Linked DNA regions of Rhinolophus ferrumequinum. The protein of the gene in region 1 purifies or fractionates together with the protein of each later gene. This does not show direct contact. Links are inferred from orthologs where the notes say so. Each region holds a gene or a part of one and is shown in the gene's direction. Other genes may lie near its edges.

Region 1 (11,445 bases):
CAGGAAGATGGGCTGGGGGCACTGACAACAAGGCAGCAGGCAAGGACCTTCTTCTTGGACGGGGAGCCATGAGACCTGTGGCAGGAGTGACAGTGGAGACCCCAGGGAGAATTCAGTCACTCACTTATTCACTCAATACATATTTACTGCCACAGGCTCAGTGCCAGGCCGTGGAAGGACAGAGAAAAAGGAGCCAGTCCCTGTCCTCAGAGAGCACCCAGACACACGCTGCTTAGAATTAAACTCGGAGGGGCTGTACAACCAAAGGGAAGGGACATATCCTGCCTGGTCCCTGGAGCCCACTGAAAAAGGGCACTCCAGGCCCCATACCTGACGCACAGGTGGCTTCTGGAGCTCCTTTTGGCTCAGGAAGGGTCCCCTTCCTATCCAGCCCTACCCCACTCTCAACCAAGGGAAGGGACTTTTGAAAGCGGCCCTGATCGGACAGGGACAGATGTTAGCACCAGGCTTATTCACAGGATAACACCTGGACAACAGGATTTGCATGTGATTTGCAAAAGCTTGGCCTGACGCACAAGCCCGGCAACCTCTGGTTCCTGCTCCTGGTGCTCTGTCACCTCACCCTAGGCCAAGTTTCCAACCTTTGCACAACGGAGAACGCCAGGACCCTTTTCTTGCTTTCCCCTAAACAGTTCCCACGAAGAAGCCAGAACAGGACCGACTGGGGCTCCCAATCCGCAAAGCAGAGCCTGGGGACTTCTGGGTGGAGGTTGGTCCAGCTCAGAGCTGAGAGCTGGCAGGTGAAGGTCTCTGGGCAGCTCTGACGGGAAAGCCCTAAACTGTAAGAGGTTTTGCAAGCCCAGGACTCCAGGGGAGAGCCAAGGAAGCTTCTGGACCTGCCCAACCCCAGTGGCCCCTGGTCCCTGGGAAGTAGTCAACACGCCCTCAGTATTGGGTGAATGGATGATGGAGGGCTTCAATTCATCAGCCATTGTGAAACTGTCAGCTCAGGAACAGACAAAAGCCTCAGGGAGCTGGACTTGAATTCATAGAGGACAGCAGGGGAGAACCAGGACTACACAGCCTGCTTCAGGAGTCAGAGAAAAAATATTCATCTAACTGCCGGTGAGTGAAAGGTGCCTTGAGCCAAAGCACTGTGCCTGCAATTCATACTTCATCTCATCTTAGCATCATAAGTACCCTGTGAGGTTGGCCTCTCACTCCCATTTTAGAGATGATTAAACTGAGGCTCAGGAAGGTTAAGTGCCTTTTGCTTAAGGTCACACAGCTGGGCAGGCGTGAGTCCAAGACTCTAACCCAGAAGCTATTAGGATAAATTGGGTGAGAATGATGCGAGGGCATCCTGGGTCCTTCCTTTCCTTCCTAGGATCCGATGGCTGAGTTCCCAGGGATTCCCTCTTCAGTTTCCTTAGCGGCAGAATGAAATGATACTTACCTCACAAATATATTGCAAAGATTAAATGGCAATTAAGACATGTAAAGTGTTTAGGATAGTGTCTGGCACGTGATAAGCCTGGTATTAGTTAATGTTACCTGTTATTATTATTATTACTATTACTACTATTACTAACTGAAATTCATGGGTGGCCAGATGGCTCAGTTGACTGGAGCACATGCTCTTGACAGCGCGGTTGCCGGTTCAATTCCCACATGAGCCAGTGAACTGCGCCCTTCACAACTAGATTGAAAACAAAGACTTGAGCTTGGAGCTGAGCCAACGGTGGGCGACCAGTTGGCTCAGTGTTTAGAGCACGGTACTCATAACATCAGGGTCACCGGTTCGATTCCCACATGGGCCAGTGAGCTGCGCCCTCCACAACTAGATTGAAGGTGGTGACTTGACTTGGAGCTGAGCTGTGCTCCCCACTAGGTTGAGAAAAACAAAAACAAAAAACAACAGCAGCTTGACATCCTGGAGAAATGCACTGTTCCCCAATATTCCCCATTAAAAAACAAAAGAAAGGAAGAAATTCACTCATTCATTCAACCAACATCTGAGAAGCGGGTTCCAGCGGGTTCCAGCCTCCAACTACAGATCCGGAAACCCGCACCCAGGGGAAAGTCAGTGCTACAATGCTGAGAAGTGGGCCATGAGGGGAACAGGAGAGAGAAGGGGGTAGCCTAGCCTTGAGATTTGGGAAGTGTCACTGCAGCTTCCTGGAAGACAAAAAGCCAGTCAATTCTCCACCCAGAAGCAGGAAGGATCTTTTAAAAATGCAAATGTACAGTCGAGGCTGTGGTAAGCCCTCTAATAGCAGGGTCCCTCTGCCCTGAGGAGGGGATCCAAAGACTCCGTGGTCCACAGGTGGCCCTGCAGGCTCTGGCCACTCGGCCTCTGCTCCCTCGTGCCCTGCACCTCACCCCATCCTGGCCTCTTTCCCCTTCTCCCAAAGCTCAACCCCTTCCAGCTCCAGAGCCTCTGCTCCCATTGTCCCCTCGGCCTGCCTCGCAGACATCTCTTCTCCTGCAGGGTCTGAGCTCTTGGGAGGCGGCTCCAGTGTCCTGTACGCACATCACAGCTGCACATCCCTCCTGGGAACTCATCGCCTTGGTGACCATCTGTACTCCCCCCAGACAGAACATTGACCAAGACAGGAACTAAGCAGGAGGAAAGAAATATGTGCCATGAGGGAAGCACCAAGAAAGGTTGCAGGGATCCCAGGTACCTTGACCAATTCATGTTGTGGACCTGCCTCTGGATCTGCCCACTCTGGGGAGATTGCAAATCAGGGAGCCCAGGACCCTTGCCCTTCGGAGCAGAGGACCAGCTAGTTAACGCCCATGGTGTGGTTGGGGAGGCCCTATGTGCATGCTGCCTCGGGCCACAGAAGTGGGGTCCTCCAGCTCCCAATGGCCTCTCAGTTGGGTCACCACCTCTAAAGCCCCGAAGCCACCAACCCACCACCACCAAGACTTCTGCCACCATCATATGGGAAACAGAGACTAACTTTCCTAGGAAATACCCTTGGAGCAAATTGGTGCAACAAAGAGAACAGACTTTCATTTGACATTAAAAAAAAAAAATGCTTGTGCCTAGTAAGTACTCGGTAAATATTAGCTATCATCATCAGTAATAATAATAAAGTACCTGGCACATAGTAGGTGCTCATTAAATGGTAGTTCCCTGGTCCCAGGGGGACAGAAGTTGGAGACAGTTGGCAGCCACCATCCCTACGGAGTCAGAGCTGCAGGAGAACACTAAATGCAACCCTTTGGTGCACAGATGGGGAAACTAAGGCGTGAACAGGGAGGACTTGCCCAAAGGCAGAAGCGATTTCGGTCCCTCGAACTTCGGTCTCTTATGCCAACGCACTGTCCTCATGATAAACTCAGCCAGCCCAAGGAGAGAGGTTTTCAACGTGTGATGCCCCTAGATTCAGATGGGCAATGCTTACTCCCAAGGAGAGCTTTGTGCGTTTGGGAGCTCAGGCTCCTTGAGGAGAATGCAGGCTGAGGCTTTGCTTTGCCTCTGCAGGAGGCGAGCACAGCTTCTTGACTTAGTGCAGCTCATGGAAGCCTGTTCTCCTGCGGATCAGGAAGGGAGAGAGGTCACATGGGAGGCCCACCTGGCCCCCTGTCGATTCCACAGCTGCTGAGCCTTTAGCAGGTGTAGATATCAGCTTGGTCATCCAGCCAAGCAGCCCCTGGTGTTCAGAGAGCAGGGGCCCCTCTGGGCACTTGCTGTCTCCTGGCTTCTGGCCTTCCTTAGGGACCTCAGCTCTAGCACTGGTCTGGTCTCCCTGACCACCTTCCTTAAGCCCCCCTTCGCACTTCTTCACCCCTTGACCCATCCCCACAGGTCAGTGAGACCCTGCAGCAGGGAAGCGGCATTCACACTGGGCCTGAGTGACCTCAAACTCATGCCCTTCCTGCTTGGTCTCCCTGCCCCCCAGATATCCCCAGTGCTGTGTCCTGTCAGTGCCAACACCAGCCCTCTTTCCCAGTGACGGCTCCTTCCACCTTCCAGTCTTTTTCTGGAGGAGGCTCATTCCCCAAAGGCCTGGCAGAGTTCCGGGGTGTGACGGTGATGACAGGGCCAAAGAACAGCTCCCAAAGCAGGAGGGCCAGCCATGCAGGGCACCCCAGGTGTTGTCAGCAAGGGAAGCTGCTCACATCAGCTCAGCCTGGGCACCTGCTCTGCAGGAAGTCGAGGGGACTTTGCTGGAAATCTGCCTTTAATCTTGGCTTCCTGTTTTCTGCCCTGGGGGACGCCCAGACGGGACTGAGTTTCAAACTATTTCACACCAGCTTCTCTAAACTGTCATCTCAAAGCAAAGAGGCTGGGGGAGGGGAGGAGCTAGGGTGGCTGAGAAGAGGCCCTTCCCTTCCCAGGAGACCCTGAGAGCAGAGTGCAGCCCACCCATGAAGGTGTTTAAGCTCCGGACCTCTGGCCATCAATGACCAACCTAACTTTGCATCGAGCTAGCCCAGTTGGATCTTATCAAAATGCAGCCCAAAGTTCTGAGCTCCATTCCCTACATCCGGGGTCTCCAGCATCTCCTCTTTTCTCCTTTCCGTCACGCCAGGGACAGGTAGCCCAGCCTGGGAAAGCTAGTGCTTGTGCCTACCTGGCTGGGACGGGGCTCCTCATCAATTCCTCCCAAATCCTAATGATTTGGAGGAATCATTATTCCTGCTCTAATGATTTCCTTTCCTAAAGTCCATTGCATGGGGAAGCTTTGGAGGTCCTCAGACCTGAAGCCCAGGCCTGGGAGTGGACTCGGAGAAAGTTTTTTCCTGTTCTGAGCCTTGGTGTGTAAAAGGTGGCTCCAAATCCTGGCCTGACATCTCCATGTCTCACAGGTGTCTTCAACTCAGTTTGTCCAAAATCCAGCTCCTGAGCGTTACTCCCAGCCTGCCCCTCCCCCAGGCCCTCCCACCTCAGGAAACAGTACCAGTTTCCTCGATTGCTCCAGCCACACCTGAGGACCAGGCCTGCTTTCTCCTGTGGCCTCACTCCCCACAAACAGCCCTTCATCAAGAGCTGTCACATGGCTCTCCTTTGTCCATCAGAGCTCACTCCTGTCACCACTGGCAGGACCATGCAAAGCATCGTCCTGGTCTCCTGTCCTTCACTCAATCATGTCACTCCTCTGCTTAAAATCCTTCAACAGCTCCCCATTGCTCATGTAACAAAACCCAAACTCATGTAACAAAAGCCTTGGTCCACAGTGCCCTCCAGGACCTGGCCCCTTCCTCACACTGCTCTCCCCCGCTTGCTGATCTTGTCCCTCAAGCTGCTGAGCCACCTGTACCTGACTCCTGGTCTGCTGTCCTCCATCAGGCACTCATCACCTTCATACCACAGTGTCTAATTGCCCTGTTTATTGATTTATCCTCTTGGACAAGACCCCTGCTTACTCTTTGCTCACTCCTTCATCTCCAGCATCCAGAACAATGCCTAGCACTTAGTAGGTGCTCAATAAGTATTTGTTGAATGAGTGAATGAATGAATAAATGAATGAAGAAGGTTGGAAGTTACTTGGCTCTTCCACTAGAGGAGAGTTCTGTGGGGGCAGGGCCCTTTATTGATTTGTCCCCTGTGCCTATGGTTCAGGGAAGTTAAAAAATTTATTTCACTCTGCTGTGAAGAGGTGGAGTCAGGATTCAAATGCAAGTCTGTTTGACTCCAAAGTTCACACTCTGGGCCACATACACCCAGGGAAAATGTCAAATGTACTTGGGGTTAAGGGAAGATGGGTAGGTAACAAAACTGGGCCAGGGATTAGAGCCTTTTCCCCACGTCCCCACAGCCCTTTCCCATTTTGCAAGCTGACTCAGCCAGGGTAGGGGAGATGTCAACTTCTCCCTTCGGAAGGCTTTGCAGAGCTGCTGAAATGCTTCCCTTTAGGCTAAGAGGTGGCCCCATCCGGTCCCACTTTATCATTCCATCTTGACCTCATCGGAAAGAAAGGGAAACCAACTGAGCTAAGCACCCCCTCCGCCCTCCCCCAAAGCCGTTATCTTGCTGAATCTGTACCATCTCTCATAAGAGAGATGTATTTTGAGCTTGATCTTACAGAAGAGGAAACTGAGCTCCGAGACCTTAAGTAACTAACCCAAGGTCACACAGCTAGTAAATGGCCCCGCTGAGATTTAAGATTTGAACCTTAAATTCGTGCTTTTTTCCACCACAGTATCTCTGAAACTTACTGGATAGCTCCTCAAAGGCTAGGGGTGTGACTACCACTCCCCTCCTTAAAGGGCTGGAGCCTTAGTGGCAAGCTGGCCAGGGGTGCATTGGGTCAGAAGGTCACCTGTGGTTTGGGTGAAGGCACACCCAACTCCTGCTCCTGGTATGTAAGGCTCTTCGCAATCTGCTGCCACAGTCTCCCCAGCTCACTCTCCCACAGAGCCCTTTACTGTCCACCTCACTCCCTCAGCCCCTCGCTTATTGTGAATTTCAAGACTTTGTCAGTACACCTCATTTCCCTACCGGAGAACGTCCCTCCTCTGTGCCCACACAATCCTGACTCTTCCTTCACGGCCCAGTCCCTAGGAAACGCCTCCACATGTCCTATCTGCACCGGAGTCTCTGGTCTCTCCCCGTCACCGACCCCACTCTCTAACCCCCCACCCACACCCACTGTCTGCTCCTGTAGCTCAAAGTAGATCTCCTCCCTGCTCCTTGTTAATAATGATATATAACAACACACGAGACTTGACTGAAGGCTGACCATGTGCCAGCCCCTGCTCACTAAGCACTTTAAATGTATTAACTCATTTCCTGTCCTACAAAACCTTAAGAAGTTGGTGCTATTATTTCCCCCATTTTATCAAATGGGGAAACTAAAGCCCAGAGAGGTTATTAACTTTCCCAAAGTCACGTAGCTGTTGACAACATCCCCATTGCCTCCAGGCTGAAAACAAAGTCTAAGAAAGTCCCACAAGGCTCTTTGGATCTCTCTAGTCCCTGGTCTTCCGGGGACGTCATCTCCTCCCACTCTCCTGGACCTACACTGTCATACTGCGCTATTTCCAGGTTCCAGAGCCATCAAGCTCTCTCATCTCTCCCTGCCGCGGTCCATGCTGTTCCCCCTGCCTAGGGTCCCAGCTCCATGAAATCTCCCCATTCGTCTCCCCCTTTTCCGCTTCCTGTGGACCTTGTACACCATTATCAGTTATTTCTTTGAGCTTGTCTGTTGGCCGGTCAGTAGTGCCGAGAACACCTTGACAGTAATGTAGTGGTCCTACTAGTAGACTCCGGAACCGGGCCCGTCTCATCGTCAGCGCCATTAATCGTCTGAGAATAAATGAATGAATGAATGCTTCCTGCTGCGAGTGAGGCCCACTCTTCACAAACAGATTCAAGGAGAAGGGCCCAGGCCCGGCCTCAATCGCTTCTACAGCAGGGGAGCTGCGCCCCGGGAAGGCTGCTGGTGGCTCCAAGGCGGGCTGGTCGGCCCACGGCGCGGGACCTTCGGGAGCCTCCATCGCAGGCCTGCAGGTGGGGGCAGGGCGTGGGCGCGGACACACCCCCCGTAGTGCCCCCGGCGCCCGGCAGGGGGCGCCGCCTCCGCCGGCCCACGCCCCACTGGCCCACGCCCCGCCGCACGCCTGGCAGGCCCCCTCGCGCAGGCGCGCTGCCGCGGGCGGAGGATCCGGGCGGCGCTTCCTCTCGCCAGGCCTGTGAGCTTCCTCCCAGCAGAGCCCCGGGCGAGCTGAGCTTGGCCGCCGCCGCCGAGCCCGCCGCCGCCCTCCCGTTCCCGCCCCACCCCGCACCCTGTCGGGGGTCCTGCCGGGGTGGGGTCCGAGTGGGGCGACCCTCCGGCCTCGCCGCCGTCGGGACCGTCCCGCCAGCCAGCGGTCCCTCCCGCCCCAGCCAGCCTGTGGCCGCCGGAGCCTCCGGGGCGTGGAGCGCGGGGAGCCCCCCGCGTCCTGGGCGGCCCCCGGCAGCCGGCGCGACGTTCCAAAATCAAACCTTGGTGGCGGCGTTCGGAAACGGAACTCTGCCGGGGCCGCGCCGGCTACATTGTTTCCTCCCCGATTCCCTCTCGCCCTCCTTCCCCCGCCTTTCTTCCCTCCCCGACCCTGGCCGCGCGGCTGCCCCCTGCGTCCGTCTGGCCGTCCCTCCTTACCCTCTCTCCGCACTCCTACCTCTTTGTACCGCATCCTCCGGGGACCCCTGCGCCCCTCCCCTCTCCCCTGGCGGCATGGACCGTCCCGCAGGCCGCTAATGCTGCCCAAAGCGAGGTGGCCCGGACCGCAGTGCCCTGAAAGGTGAGTGCGTTTGAGTATTTCCCGAGGGAGGAGGGTGGCGGTCTCACGTCCCGCTTCTGTTACTGCTGTTGCAGCTGCCGTCGCGTCCACTCCCATCCCCCACCTCCCTTACCCCCTCCTTCCCGGTTTCGAATTCTCCCGGGAGTCACTGTCAGCCCGACTGGGAGGGGAGCACAGGAGGGAAGTATTGCCCTATGAGCCCCCACAGACTTCGCTCAGGCCAGCCGAGTCTGTCCCCCTGTTTCCCCCGTGTGGGGTCTGGCTGTAGCCGGGAGGGAAGGGGTCAGCCTGGGCCAGAGCCCTGGAGAATGGGCAGTTTGCCATTCCCTACCCAGGGCCTCCCTGCAGGTTCCCTGGTCTGCCTGGTTATGACCCCTCCCTCGCTTCCCAACAGAGGCCCTGCCTGCTCTAGGAATCCCAGGGCCCAGAGATTGAGCTTGTCACCCTCTGCCTCACAGAAAACCAGGCTTAAGCCAAGGAACCTCTGACCTTTGGGTGGGGAAACTTGGCAGGGCCACTGTCCTGGGTAGAGGTGACACTGGGCATTAGGACCATGCCCCCACCGCCTGGCAGCCTGGTCAGCCCATTCTCCCAGGCTCCTCAGGGCCCAGGCCAGGTGTCAGGAAGGGGCGTGTCCAGCCACCAGATCCTTGGAACTTAACTAGGGGTTCCTTTCCTCTCCCCTCCTAGTAGACCAGGGAACTGAGGCTCAAAGGGGGAAGTTGCTCCCCCAGGCTTCTGGCAGAGCTATGCTGTCTATCCATCCATCCCCCGCTCTACAGAGCTGGACTGCTGTAGGTAGAGGGCAGCCAGGCAGGCACCTTCACTGACCAGGGACACAGGCCCCCATCCTGGCCCAAGGGACCCTGTGGGGTGAGCATGTGCTCCCCTACAGAGGGCTGTAGAGGAGGCAGAGGACTTCCGGCCCCAGCTCTGCCTGCGTATGGGCTCAGGCATCTGCACTGCCCCTGGGGTTACCCCCGGTGCCTGAGGCTGGGTCCCACTGGTGAGGATGTGGGGACACCTGTCTGGTGTGGCCCTGGCACTGAGCTGAGACAGCCTGGTATTCAGTCGTGACCCTGCCCTCCCACACCTTTGGCCCAGATGGCATAGGAACAGCCAAATTCAGAGCGTGAATGGGATCCACATGGGGAAGGTGAGAACCCTGTTTCCACAGGGAACGCCCCACAGCCTTGGCATAGGAGCATTTTCAGGGGATACCCAGGGGCCTGTTCCCAGCTCCCCACACCATGGGGATCTCAGCGTCTTTCTTGATGGGACCCCAGGGTGAAGGCAGCAGGAGGGAGATTGGGAGTGTGGCAGAATCCTCTTGTTCCTGGAAGGGTGGGAGTTTCCCTGGAGGACACCGAGCCATGTCTGGGGCCCTGCTCAGGCTCTGCCCTTGATTAGAAGTTTTTTCCCAAGTCTCCCTGACATGCACAGTGGAGAGGACCCAGATGAGGTCGGCCTGTGAGGCTCCCCTCACCCAGCCCTAACTTCCTTTCCAGCCTGGGGTTGGGGCTGAGGCCTGACATGGTTGAGCTGTACCCGGGTGGCTGGGGTCCCGCGGCCTTTGTAGACCGGGGTCTGGCTGCAGGCTGGCACATGTGCAGGGATGTGTTTTCCTACCTGGCGAGCTAGGTGCCTTCCTCCCTCTCAGAAGTGACTGCTTTTCTTTTTGTTGGATCGGGGGCAAGGAAGGACCAGAAAACAGTCCCCAGCACCACTGCAGGGGACACTGGGCCCCAAGACGGTGAGACACTACAGAGCATACAGGCGGGGGTTGAGGCCCAGGAGCCACGGTTAGCTGCCCCAGCAAGCCGCCAGGTGGCCTGAGTGGGCAGGGCAGCCTGGGCCCAGTTCTGGCCTCCATCTTTTGAGGAATTTCAAAGCCTTGACACATAATCTCCAAAGAGCAGAGGTATTTGGTACGGAAAAGAGAAGGTAGGGAGAGACCCTCACGTGTCTGAGGGGCTTTGCCATGGTAGAAGCTGTCCCAGACACCAGGGCCAGAGCTGGGGGCAGGCGGGGCCCAGGGAAGTGAGTCTGCGCTCATTGCGAGAAAATTATGTATGTATTAGTTTCTTAATTTAGAAAGTAACAAAGCACTACAGGAAATGTAGAAAACAAAACAAAAATCACCCACTGTTTCTTCCCTGGCACAGTGACTAGCATTTTGGAGTTCCCTGCCAGTCTTTCCTGGGTTTTTATTCCTTCGTCGCTATTGTCATTTCAGTGTACATGCCATGACTTTTTTCATTTAATACTGTGTCTGTGGGCATTTTCTCATGCTGCTACATGGTCTGTGTAACTTTGCCTCCGGAAAGGTGTAGAATTTTCCAAATAGCTGCCACAGCAACCCTACCCAGACCCTCTTACTAAGCGTATGCACTGTTGTTTCCTGACTGTTGTTGGGGTGGTGGTTGCTACAGGCCCCCATAGTGACCAGGAGTATCGGAGAGAGCAGGCAACTTGACAACCATCCAACCTGGTTTCCAGGCCCAGCCATGCCACTTAGGCCCGGGAGGAGGGACCTTGGACAGGTCACCGTTTGAGACAGGGTTCCTTTATGTACACACCGGGGACAGTGTCCCTGCTCCAGAGGGAAATGTGCGGGCAGTGTGAACACTCCAAGGTGCTAGAAAGTGCCTGGCACAGCCCCTGGCCGTCACAGGCACTTTGTCGGGGCGGGGGAGGGGGCATTGTTGATGGAGTGCCCACCACAGTCTGTGGAGAAGACGCTGGGCCAGAGGTGGCTGGTGGCTCACCAGCCAAGGGCTGCTCTGTGGCCCGGGGCCCTTTTAAAACCCTCTGGCCCTGAGGCTCTGGACTGCTCTGGCTAGTGCCCGTCCCGCCTTCCTGCCTGCCCCCTTCCTGTCACCCTGTGATTGGCCGGCCCAGATCACGGCCTGGCCCTGAGAAGATGGGTTACTGGTCGGTTTCTGGGACCTGACCCTACCCTTCCTTCTCTTCTCCCGGCATCCGAGCTGAGTGAACAAGGCCTCTGCTCTGAGAGCCCAGCTGCCTCCCGTCCCCCAGCTTTGGCTACTTCCTCGGCAGGCCCCTCATTTCCCCAGTGGACATAGAGGCCTACTTTCCCTGGGAAAACTGAGACTTGGGCAGGGAACCCAGGCATTCTGACCCTCAGCCAGCCTCGTCTCCGCACCCTTTCCCAGGGCCCGGGGCAGGGAGGAAGCTGGGGCAGGCAGGGATTTTAGGGCTCCCCCGGCTGGGAGTTGAAGA
Region 2 (10,805 bases), on another chromosome or scaffold:
CCCTCTGCTTGTCTGCAGGGAACGGGATTTCGGGCTGGGGTGTGTGGCGACAGCTGGCCCATGCGGGCATTTTGAAGCCCGTCACCAGGCATGGACAACGATGCAGATTTTCCCTTGTGTTACATAAAACCCACCTGAAATAGCTCAATTGGTCTCAGTGGGGAGAGTTGGGGGCCAGGTGAGTCCCAGCAGCCGTGTCCATTTCCTTCGGCACCCAGCGGGAAGTGGACGCTCCCCTCTCCACTTCAGGTCTCCTGGTGCCCAGAGCAGCAGAACCTGTTCCCGCACTGTGGGTCTCACCGTCTGATTCGGGGGTTGTGCTTGGAGTTCAGTGCTGGTGCAGAGCCCCCAGGCGCCTCCAGGTTTATCACTGGCGGTTGGCTTGGCGCTCAGGAGCCCTGGAGGTCTGAGAACGGACCGGAGGACGGTCGGCTGTGAGCCGTCTGGCCGGTGTCTGAGTGTAAGAGGTAGGAAGACTGGCCGAGGGCCCCCCACGCTTGCAGGCCCCTCCCTGGGTCACATCGGCGTGCAGAGAAAAACCTTGTTTCCGTTTACTAGTCTGATATGTATTGTTGCCTCTCCACCCCTTTTCCCCACGGGAGGGTGAGGCCAAGGGTTTGGGGCCCTTCTTACCCCAAGGAACCCTGCTCTGTGTCTGTGAGGGGGCAGCAGGCAGGAACATGGGGTGTGAGAGGCTGTGGGGGGTCCTTTTACCTCGGAGGTTTCAGGCCTTGATGTCCACTCAGGCAGAAGCCCGCACACTACAGCCCTTCCTCCCTGCCCTCACCCTCTCTTGCTGCACCCCAGCCTCCCCCACGGGGCAGGTGAGGGCCCAAAGATGCTTCTCTCGCAGCTCAGTTCCCATCATTTCCTTACTTCTCCCCCTGGGTGGCCAGGAGACAGAGGAGGAAAGTGGGGTAGACCCCAAGTCTGGAAAGGGGATGACACTGCCTGGGGGTCGGGAGGTGGCCCTTTAACCCTTTCTTTTGCTTTGCTCTGCAAGTTCTTGAACAAAACAGTTGCTTTTTCTTGAGCAAGGAAGCAGGGAAAACACATATTGGAAGCTGATTTTGTCAGGAAAGCATTTTTTCTGTACTTTTTGCAGAGGAAAGGAAAGAGGCGTGAAATGCCTATTTTCCGAGCATCGGCAAAAAACCTTCTGCTAAGTATGTCAGAAGTTACCACTTTGTTCCTTAAAAGGAGCCATGAGCTGTGGGAGGGTGCTGGGAGCTCAGGCTGGGGGTTGCCCTGAATTCTGTAGCCACCGACCAAGACATGTGGGTTATGTTGATGGGACTAAAAGACCCCCTTGGGGCCAGGTGCTCCTGCGTTCACCACGTCTTTGAGCACCTGCTGGGACTTGGAGAAGCAGTGGCTGTGAAAGACGGAAGCTGAGGGGGCAAGGCCTTACAGCCCTGGTCCTAATACACCCTGCGAGGTGGCCCCCGTGGTCCCGAGGGGGTGCTGGGTTAGGTGACATGCCTGTGCTCCCTGACTCTCCGTCTCCCAGGCCCCCCACTCACCCCTAGGCGCCCCGGGCCTTGGTTTCCCCTGTGTTCAATGTTCCCCATCAGGAAGTATTAGAAAGTGGCCTGTGCGCCTGGGTGGTAGTGGGGAGCTGACGCCTGCTGAGCAGGGGAGGAGGGTGAGGGATGTCCTGAGAGCCAGGATTTGCCCGAGGTCTGCGCCCAAGATGGCCCAGGTGTGCCCGCCACCAGCACCGCTAGACGGGGAGGGAGGGCCAACTCAGAGCTGGGGGCACGAGAGCAGGCCCCAGACAGCTGTCTGGGCAGGAGCTCTGTAAACCGAAGGGTCTTCTTCGTTGTCAGAGGCAACCTGCTTCTAAGATGCTTTAGGTGTCTGGTGGGGACTCCTTGCCTCTCCAGGTCACAGCACGGAGGAGTGTACTGGCCTGTGACAGATGCTGCGTGTGCCAGGACTGGAGGGTGCAGACATTGGCGTGCCCAGAATGTTTGGTGACCCCAGCGCAGACCCCAGGCTGGGAGCTGGGGCAGGGCCAGCGGGCGTGGGCGCCCCTGAGGTCCGCGTGCAGGGCCTGCTCAGGTATTGTCCCCGAGCAGGAACATTGGCAGGAGAGTTGTGCTGTCACTGCCCTGGCATCCTGGCAAGGCCAGGACTGAGGAGGCGTGGGGGGCCTGTTCTGTTGTAGACTTACTGTTCCCCTTTTACAATAAAGGGAAGGGGAATGGAGACTGTGCAGAGCTTCTCCAGAGTGACAGTGACAGATGGTAGACTGTGGCTCTCCTCGGTGAGGTCCCAGGACAAGTGGGGACTAAAACCTTTCCCCTTCCTCAGCCCCACTTACTGCTGAGCCTTCTGCCACCATCCTCTCTGTCCCCAGGGTGGGAGGCGCCCTGAGGCCACGCCGACGTCTGTTTCTCCTCAGACCTTCACTGCGTTTCCTGATTTCTGTCAGTAGGACCCATGGCCTCATGGATTACTACTGTACCCAGTGGTTTCTAATCCAGTAGTATCGCTCTCAGCGGCCGTCACCAGCCATCCTTGTATCCGTGGCAGAGCCGGCCTCATCCAAGGGCTCCTGCCCGCAGTGCAGCCTGGGTGTCCAGCCCCAGGTGGGTGATGCAGCCCAAGGCCCTGAGCTGGGGCTTGTCCTTGCAGTCTGGTCCCCAGTGCTCTGAAGTCCGTCTTCTGCAGGCAGAACCTCGCTTTGGTTCTGGGCACTCAGTGCAGCGAGCAGCCCCAGCTGGGCGTTGGGTCCGAGAGGAGCATGGAGGGCTGCAGCCTTACGAGGGGCAGCCCAGTGGCAGGGTGAGTCGGGCGAGGCCAGGGTTGTTTGCGCCTGGATGAGTGGGCTCCAGTCCTGCCCTGGTTTCTGGTCCCCAGGGTCCCCAGACTGAGCTGACCCCAAACCCTTCTGCTTCCGCTTGCTTCTGAGGGGGTCGGGTGAAACACTGACATTGACGGCAAGGACAGGGAGCAAAGCCGACTGTTTCCTTCCTACCCCAGCATTTATTGCTCCCGCTCTGTTTTGTGTGTGGAAAACCCCAGACAAAGGTTAGGATTGCAGCCTGGAGGCACAAGACAGATGACCACACTCCAGGGCTATGCCCCAAGGATGAGGTCCGTGGGGTCGGGGGCATTTAACTGGTCAGGGAGGTGGGGCAGGAGGCGGGTCTGCAGCTGAGCCCAGAAAGGCGGCAGTTTTCAGTCAGAAAGGGAAAAGGAGACGCCAGAGTGGGGCCAGCAATCTCCAGGACACAGAGCTGAGGTGTAAGCAGGGCCGGGGAGGGGGGGCCGCTAGCACAGTGGGGAATCACTGCAGGCTCCCAGTTTTGCATTTGGGGAAGTAGCTTGGGCTTCGGGGCAGAGACCACGTCCTGATTGCTGACTACTTGTGGCAACCCCTTGGGGTGTATCACATGCATGTAGTAAAGTGTGGGAGTTTTCTGAATGGTGTACCTTTCAAATAAGTAGGAGACCTAGGGAGTCCCCAGGAGAAGAACCACCATTGTTTTCCAATCGTGCAGGCCTGGCCGTGAGCACTGGCATTCAGCACGAACATTTCCAGAGGCTGGGGTACCCCCAGAGAGCCTGGTCCTCAGGTCCACGGGAGCTTTACCATGTTAGGGGTCACCTGCTGTCTGCTGGGATCAGGGTCCCTCTGCCAGTCCGTGGGTGAGGCAGTGCTGCACCCCGTGGCTTCTGGGCCAGGCGTTTGCACCGCCCTGGACAGCACTGGACAGTACAGTGTGTGTACTGGTCCGTGCCCAGCCTGTGTTAGGTGCTGGGGAAGCAGACATGAATGCGGCCGGGTGTGCTCAGGCTCCTGCAGTCACGGGGGAGAGGGCTGTGTCTGCAGAAAAGAAAGTCTGAAAATGTGAATAATGACGACGGGGGCAATGAGTAGGGCTGGATGTCTGCTGGGCCAGGAGTCGGAACCCAGAATGGCACCCTCCTGGCCTTCTCGTGGTTGAAGGTCGGAGAGCAGCTCTCCTGTTCCACTGCAGAAACGGAAAGGCGGATGGATATTCAGCGCCAGAGCCTGAGAGGTTAACCAGCCGGAGTCCTCGGCTGGGCTGGAATTCGCACATGTGTTAACCATGAAGGCCCTGGTCCAGCCCACCCAGACGACTGCAGAGCTAAGGCATTGGGAGTTGCGAGCAGAGGGGAGGATCTGAAATCGGGCGTTAGACCAACACAGCTCTGAGCTGTGGACGCATCGCAGGTCACTAGAACCACACACGGCTGGGCCTCCGGGCAGGTCAGGTCAGGTCACTGGGGCCACTGCTGGGGGTACACGGGGGGGCCAGCCTGAGGCCAGAGGGTTCCCCAGCGCCATCTGCTCCCGTGCAGGGGCCTCCTCCGTGCCCCACTGGAGGGAGGAGGTGGCCCCAGCAGGACAGGGCCATGGCCAAGGTGGCCTTCCTGTCTCTTCCATCCACAGATGCGGGAGCTCCTGGTGGAATTAAGCCCCACTGCTCGTGTGGACAGCCCACGAGGACTCCATCCTGCGGGGTCTGGCAGGCCATGGAGAAGCCCTCCCTCCCTTCCCCGCTGCCTTTCCCCTCTCCAGGTGTCTGCCTTCTTCCTGTGACACCCTGTCCCCACCGTACAGCCCACCTTCACCTCCCAAACTCCAGGCTTCACATTTCCTTCTGAAACCGCAGCCCCCATGAGCAAACTGGGACTGGAAATCGGATGTGATGTGGGGAGCTGGGTGGCACAGGGATGGTGGGGGGCAGGAGGCCGGGGGCCCTGCCCCAGAGGAAGGCTCCTCATCACTTGCTTTCAGCGGGGGAATCCCTACCTCATCCCTCTGGAGCAAGGCTGCTCCTTGTTTTTCTTAGTTGAAGAGGCAAATCGGAAAGAAAGCCTTTCTTTCTGCCTGACGCTTTTCCTTCTTCCCACTAAACCCACGGTTGGAAGGCAGCAGGAATTACTAGCGATACTGGCCATTACCCGAGCACTAGGTGACTAGACGCATTCAAGACTTCAAGCCCTGAAGCCAAAGCGCCTGCGGGTTTTGATTTTGCACCTTGGTCAGAGTTACTGGAGAGCTCTGAAATCCTAGTCGGGCGGCACCCTAGCCGAAGGCGAAGGTAATCCAGTCGGAGGCGGCAGAAGCCTCGCCCCCCACGCCTGCCCCGGGGGCGTTTCTGCTCCACTCTCCCTGGGTTTGGCTGAGAAGCCTTCGCCTCCTTTCTGGAGCTGCGGTCTGAGGTGGGGGAGGGAGGGCTAATTCGTGTCAGATGGAGGGGCGCCGGGGGACCGTGCGCTTGCTCGCCTGGCTTTTGTTCCCTGCGTCTGACTTCTGAGTGCGGAGTGGAAGTGGAGGTGGCGGCCGTGTCCTTTCGGGCCTCCGGGCGTCGAAATTTTCCTGGGACTCCCAGACGCAGCGGCCCAGAAGGCACCCCTGTGGGGCACCGCCGCCGCCCGGAGAGTTGGCGCCCGCCGACGTCCTCACTTGGCCCGGCTGGGCTCTTCCCCGGCGCCGGGAGCCGCCATGCGGCTGCGCGCCCTGACTCGGGGGCCGCCTGGAGGATGCGCGCGCGGGGCCCGGGCGCGCCGGCACCGGCGCCAAGTGAGTGGGTGCAGGACGCTGGGAGCCGGGGAACCCGGTCGCTGGGGGCGCGGGGGTTGCAGGGCGCTGGGATGAGGGGGCGCCAGGGTGCGGGGCGCTCAGAAATGAATGCTTTCGGGCTGTAGCCCGCGCGTCCCGTGTGCGCTCATACTCGCGGCCGTGCACGCTCTGTGCAAGTCTGTACCTGTGCCCGTGCACCCTTGTCTGCGTGTGCACGTTCACGCTTGTGCCCTTGGTGCGCGTGCCCAAGTGTGCTCATATGTCCACGGGTGCGCGTGTGTCCTTGTCTGTGCCCCAGCGTGTGCGCTTGTGTACCCTTGCGTGTGGGCGCAGGAGAGGAGGAGAGATGGAAAGCGGGCCTTGCCTGGTGGGAGGCGGGCGCCCGGCTGAGGCCACAGAGTGGGAGACAGTTCAGGATTAACTTTCTAATCCAACCACCTCTTGAACAGGCTTCCTTGGACTCCATTCAGGGAATGGAAGTAGGACATGGGCCATTACGCAGACTCCCAGCGCAGCCCGTGTTGTCTTGCAAAGGAAAGGGCACTCAGCTCTGTGCAGACGCTGGGATGCGCTGGCCTGTTGCAGTAGTACAAGTTCCTGGCGGCTGCATCCGAGACCCTGGTCCACGGTGGGGCCTCCAGAGGCTTGATTTAAACAGAGCGAATGTGGGAGGGGCTCCCCGCCACCTCCCACCGGACCCGCAGCCCTTTCTTTGAGTTCAATAGTTGGGCCTTGGTGACATTCAGTTTCCTGGAAACTTTGGTAATGTTCTGAGGAGTGAGAGGTTGTCAACATGTCAGCTCCTTTCCCTCCTTCTGAGTTGTGTAGTGTCCTCATTTTCAACTCACCAGCCAGAGGGTCTTGCTGGGAAGCTTGAGGACGAGGTGTGGTGTGGGGAGGGTCCTGGGTCCTGTGGCTGCCAGTGGATGGACACATCTCCAGGAAGGGTCAGTCACCCCCCAGTTTGGGGCACACACTGTCCCTGTGGGAAGTTTCGTGGCCCTTTAACTTCGGAATCCAGCCGATTTGTGTTTTCACTGTCTGCCTTCCTGGACTGCTGAGGTTTCTTCAGGTCCCCAAATGCACCCTGGATCTTCTTTCCTGAGAGGAAGACAGAACTTGGGTTTTGCTGGTGTAGCTTTGTGTGGGAGCCCCTGGGAGGGAGGTCTGGGAAGCTCTGCCTCACCACAGAGCAGAGTGGGGTGGGGGGTGTGGCTCCCCTTCTGCACTCAGGGGTGCACTTCCTTCCCCAAATGTTCAGATTTTTCTTTCTAAAAAAACTCACAGTCAAGACCAGCGCTGACCACCAAGCACCCCTCAGGGTGGAACCCCTAGCCTTGCCCTCTCCCTTCCCAACCGCCTGCTCCAAACAATTGAATGCCATTTAGATTCCTGAACTGAGCCTGCTCAATACTGCAGTACCGAGGCCTCCCCTCCCCCTGTGCTCCTGGGCCCCACCTCTTTGGGAGAAATGAAAGCACCTCTCAGGTGAGAACAAAGGCTGTCTAATCCGCCTTTGGGCTCCTTGTGCAGATGCCATGTCAGCAGATGTCATTACACTATCTGAAATGAATCCTCAGGCATCCAGCCACTGAAATGGGTCCAGCCTCCCAACAGCACCTCTGCTGTTTCCTTCTTCCTCTCCCAGCTGTGGCCCAGCGGCCACGAAAAAAACCTCAGGAACACAGTGGCTCTTTCTCCCTGGTTGGAATAAAGGTATTTGTAAGGAATAAAAGGTCACAGTGTTTCCTCCTTGGCCCACAGACTGGCCAATTCATTTGGTCAACAAATATTAATGGAGGGTCCACAGTTCAGTGTCTGCAGGTGCCATGCAGGGCTCGCAGGACAAAGGATAAGAGCCCGTCGTCCTGCGTCTAGGAAATGACAGTGAAGCACAGGACCAAAGGCATAGAAACAAAGAACTGAAACTTGGGGGGGTGGGAGGAATGGATGTGCCAAACTGGGATTATGAAGGAGGGCTGTGTTTGTCACATGCGTGAATGCTTCCTCCTGTCTGAGCATGAGGCTGGGCTGGGCACCAGTCCGAGCCCATGTCCCTTACCCACTGGCTGTGTGGTCTCTGTCTGGCATCCTACAGCCCTATCGCTGGAACAGTGACGACCGTGGTTATGGCACGGAAGGGTCCTGCCAGTGCCGTGAACTTCATGATGGCAGCACTGTCATTCCCCCATGGAAGGAAGGTTCTCAGAAAGTGTTCAACCTCTTACAAACCCAGACACACATATGAAGACACATGGAGTAACAGTGCCTTACGGGCTGTAGAACACATCTTCAGGGTCTAGTCCATGGGTAGTGCTGGCTCTCAGTCCCACGTGCACGGTGGAGTTTCTGGGAGCTTTCAAAGAATTCACATTCTGGCCCCACCTCCTTAGTCTGGGGTGAAGCTGAGGCAGAGCTGTTTTAAAAACTCTGCCATAGCAATTCCCATAGGCTTCCAGTGCTCACAGCCGGCACCTGGGTGAGCCCTTGGTCACTTACAGTAGCTCTTTTAACAGGCAGGAGGCAGGGGGTATCTTTCCTCTTCAAGAAAGGTTGTGACTTGCCAGGGTCACAAAGCTTGTACTGTGGGTGGCAGAAGTGGTGACACGGCTTCTGCTTGGTGCAGGACACTTTCTCTCATTTGATAATCTCGACAAGATCAACCCAAACACCAGGAGATAAGTGCCCAGAGTGCTGCCGGACTGCTAAGGACTGGGGTGGGGATTGGAGTGATCCCCAGAGAAAACTGTTGCCAGCATTCCAGAGAGCTTGACTAGCAGGGGAAAGATGGCTGGCTGTCCCACGCATGCTCTGTGAGCTTGGAATGGCTGAAGCATTGGTACAGCTTAAGGAGTTTTGAATTCACTTTGATTTATTGCTGGGTATGGAATTCTAGGTTGGCAGCTTTTCTTTTGGTACTTCATGTTGCTCCACACTCTTCTCACTCGCTTTTTTAAAAAATGGACAGATCTGCTGTTTTGCTAATGGTTGGTCCCCTGTATATAATGTGTTTATTGTTCCCCCATCTGGGTGCTTTTAAGATTTTTCTTTGTCACTGGGTTTGAGCAGTTTGATTATCATGTGTCTTGGTGTACTGTGTGTCACCAAACTTACACTTTAGATTTGTTGACTTTCTTGGATCTATGGGTTCATAGTTTTCCTCATGTTTTGGAAAAGTTTCAGCCATTATTTCTTTGAATGCCCACCCCTCCCCTGCCTTTTCAGAGACTCCAATTACATGCATATTAAGCTGCTTAAAGTGGTCCCAAAGCGCTGTCGCGCTGATGCTCTGTTTGTTTATCTATTTATTCACTTACTTAGGTTGTCTTTTCTGTGCTTATTTGGGAAGTTTGTACTAAGATTTCTTCAAGTTCTCCATTCTGCCTTCTGCAGCATCTAATCTCGCCTTAATCCCATCCAGTGTATTTTCAGCTCTGATTTTCACATTTTTCTTTTATAGATATTTGATTTGGATCTTTTTATACCATCAAGGTCCCTACTTACCTTCTTGAACATACGGAACACAGTTATAATGCCTTTTAATAGCTTCTGTGCTGATTCTGTCAGTTCAGGGTCACATTCATTTGGTTGATTATTCTCATCTTGGGCTGTGTTTTCCTGTTGCTTTGCATGCCTGATAATTTTTGATTGCATAGCAGACATTGCACATTTTACCTTATTGGGTGCTGGGTGTTTTTCACTCTTACAGATATTCTTGATCTGAAATTCGATTAAGTTACTTAGAGGTAGTTTGATCCTTTTGGGTGCTGCTTTTCAGATGAAGTAGGCAGAACAGGAGCAGTGCCCAGTCTAGAGTTAATCATTCTCCACCATTAAGGCCAGATCCTTCTATGTTTTCTGTACAGTACTGTGTGAATCTTGACGTGTTCTGGTCTGGTTGTGGGAACAGGCACCACTCCCAGCTCTGTGTGAACACTGAGCACAGTTTCCTCTCATCCTTTCTGGTGATTCTTTCCCCAGCCTTGGGTAGCTCCCTCATACATGCGTGTGCACACATGCATGCATGCACACACACACATGCACACACGCATGTGCTCCTCAGTACTCGGCTGAATGCTTCAGAGTACCTCACGAAGACTGTGAGAGTTCTGTGCAGCTCTCTGTTCTCTGGCATTCTGTCTTGTTCTGCCTGAACTCTTAGCTCCTTCTCCTCGACCCACGTAGTTGCTGGTTCCCCTTTCTTCCCTGCATCCTGGAACCTTTCTCGATGCAGGAATCTGGGGCAATCGTAGAGCTCACCTCGTTTTTTCCTGCCTCAGAGGAACTAGATAGACTAGTTTGCCTGTGTATGAACATCCTATAAATAGAACCATTCACTGTGTGCCCTTTTGTCTGGCTTCTTTCACGCTGCGTAATATTGCTTTTGATGTTCACCCTGATGCTGTGTGTTAGTAGTTTGCTCTTGTTCCACTGCAGCCTGGACCAGATAAGTGACTGGCTTATCTGAGCTCCTTCTGATGACGTTTGGGTTACTTCTTGTTTGGGACACTTTTAAATCAGGTGGCTATGACCACTGTTTGCATGTCTTTTTGTGGACATTTGCATTTGTTTCTTTCTAGTGTCCATAGCAGTGGAATTGCTGGGTCATAGCATTGGTGTAGATTTAAAAATATTTATAAGAAATTATCAGTTTTCCAACATAGTTGTACCATTTGTTTCACATTCTCCATAACAGTTCCGACTTCTCAGTGAGTTTTAGCCATTCTGGTGGTGAGTAATGGCCTCAGTGAGTCCGTGAGGTATCAGTGACTGATGGAATACACCATCACTTATCAGCAGAGGGGTACAATGATTGGTATTGGGTTTCTAAGGCCAGCTGAACTTTCATAAGGTCATCACACAGCTGTGAGCCTTGAGTCTACAAACACAGATTTGGTGGATGACAAGTGGTCCATTTCCTCCTAGTAACAGTGCGTGTGGCAGACTTGAGGCCATCCCAGCTCAAGGGGGAACCGCACATCTTATCACGCTGGTCTTAATACGGCCCGCCGTACACAGAGGCTCACATCAACTCAAAGAGGCCAACGGGCCAGGAACGTCAGTCAGGTGGTTTCCTCTGGACATAATTGTGCTGTTTGTTAATCATTTCTTCCAGAAGAAAGCATTCAGGCCATGGGAGTGCACGTGGAGACTTTGTCATAGGAGCAGGTGGTTGTAAGCCTCCAGCCTGGCAGCTAAAACATAGTCGCATGAGCCATGGTGATGCGTGTGGTGCGCCTGA

The links.
Region 2: the proteins of CSK (region 1) and TNS3 purify together in Homo sapiens (affinity purification with mass spectrometry; 4 studies listed by BioGRID and IntAct, with this or other methods). This does not show direct contact. The link is inferred for Rhinolophus ferrumequinum from reciprocal best matches to the Homo sapiens genes CSK and TNS3.

What each region holds. Positions count from the first base shown.
Region 1 is NC_046289.1:99,357,728-99,369,172, forward strand, and holds the start of CSK (tyrosine-protein kinase CSK), read left to right. Parts: upstream 1-7,174; 5' UTR 7,175-7,429; intron 7,430-7,644; exon of another isoform or gene 7,645-8,202; intron 8,203-9,334; exon of another isoform or gene 9,335-9,358; intron 9,359-11,445. UniProt on the Homo sapiens protein: Non-receptor tyrosine-protein kinase that plays an important role in the regulation of cell growth, differentiation, migration and immune response.
Region 2 is NC_046303.1:1,020,571-1,031,375, reverse strand, and holds the start of TNS3 (tensin-3), read left to right. Parts: upstream 1-5,473; 5' UTR 5,474-5,485; coding exon 5,486-5,563; intron 5,564-10,805. UniProt on the Homo sapiens protein: May act as a protein phosphatase and/or a lipid phosphatase. Involved in the dissociation of the integrin-tensin-actin complex. EGF activates TNS4 and down-regulates TNS3 which results in capping the tail of ITGB1.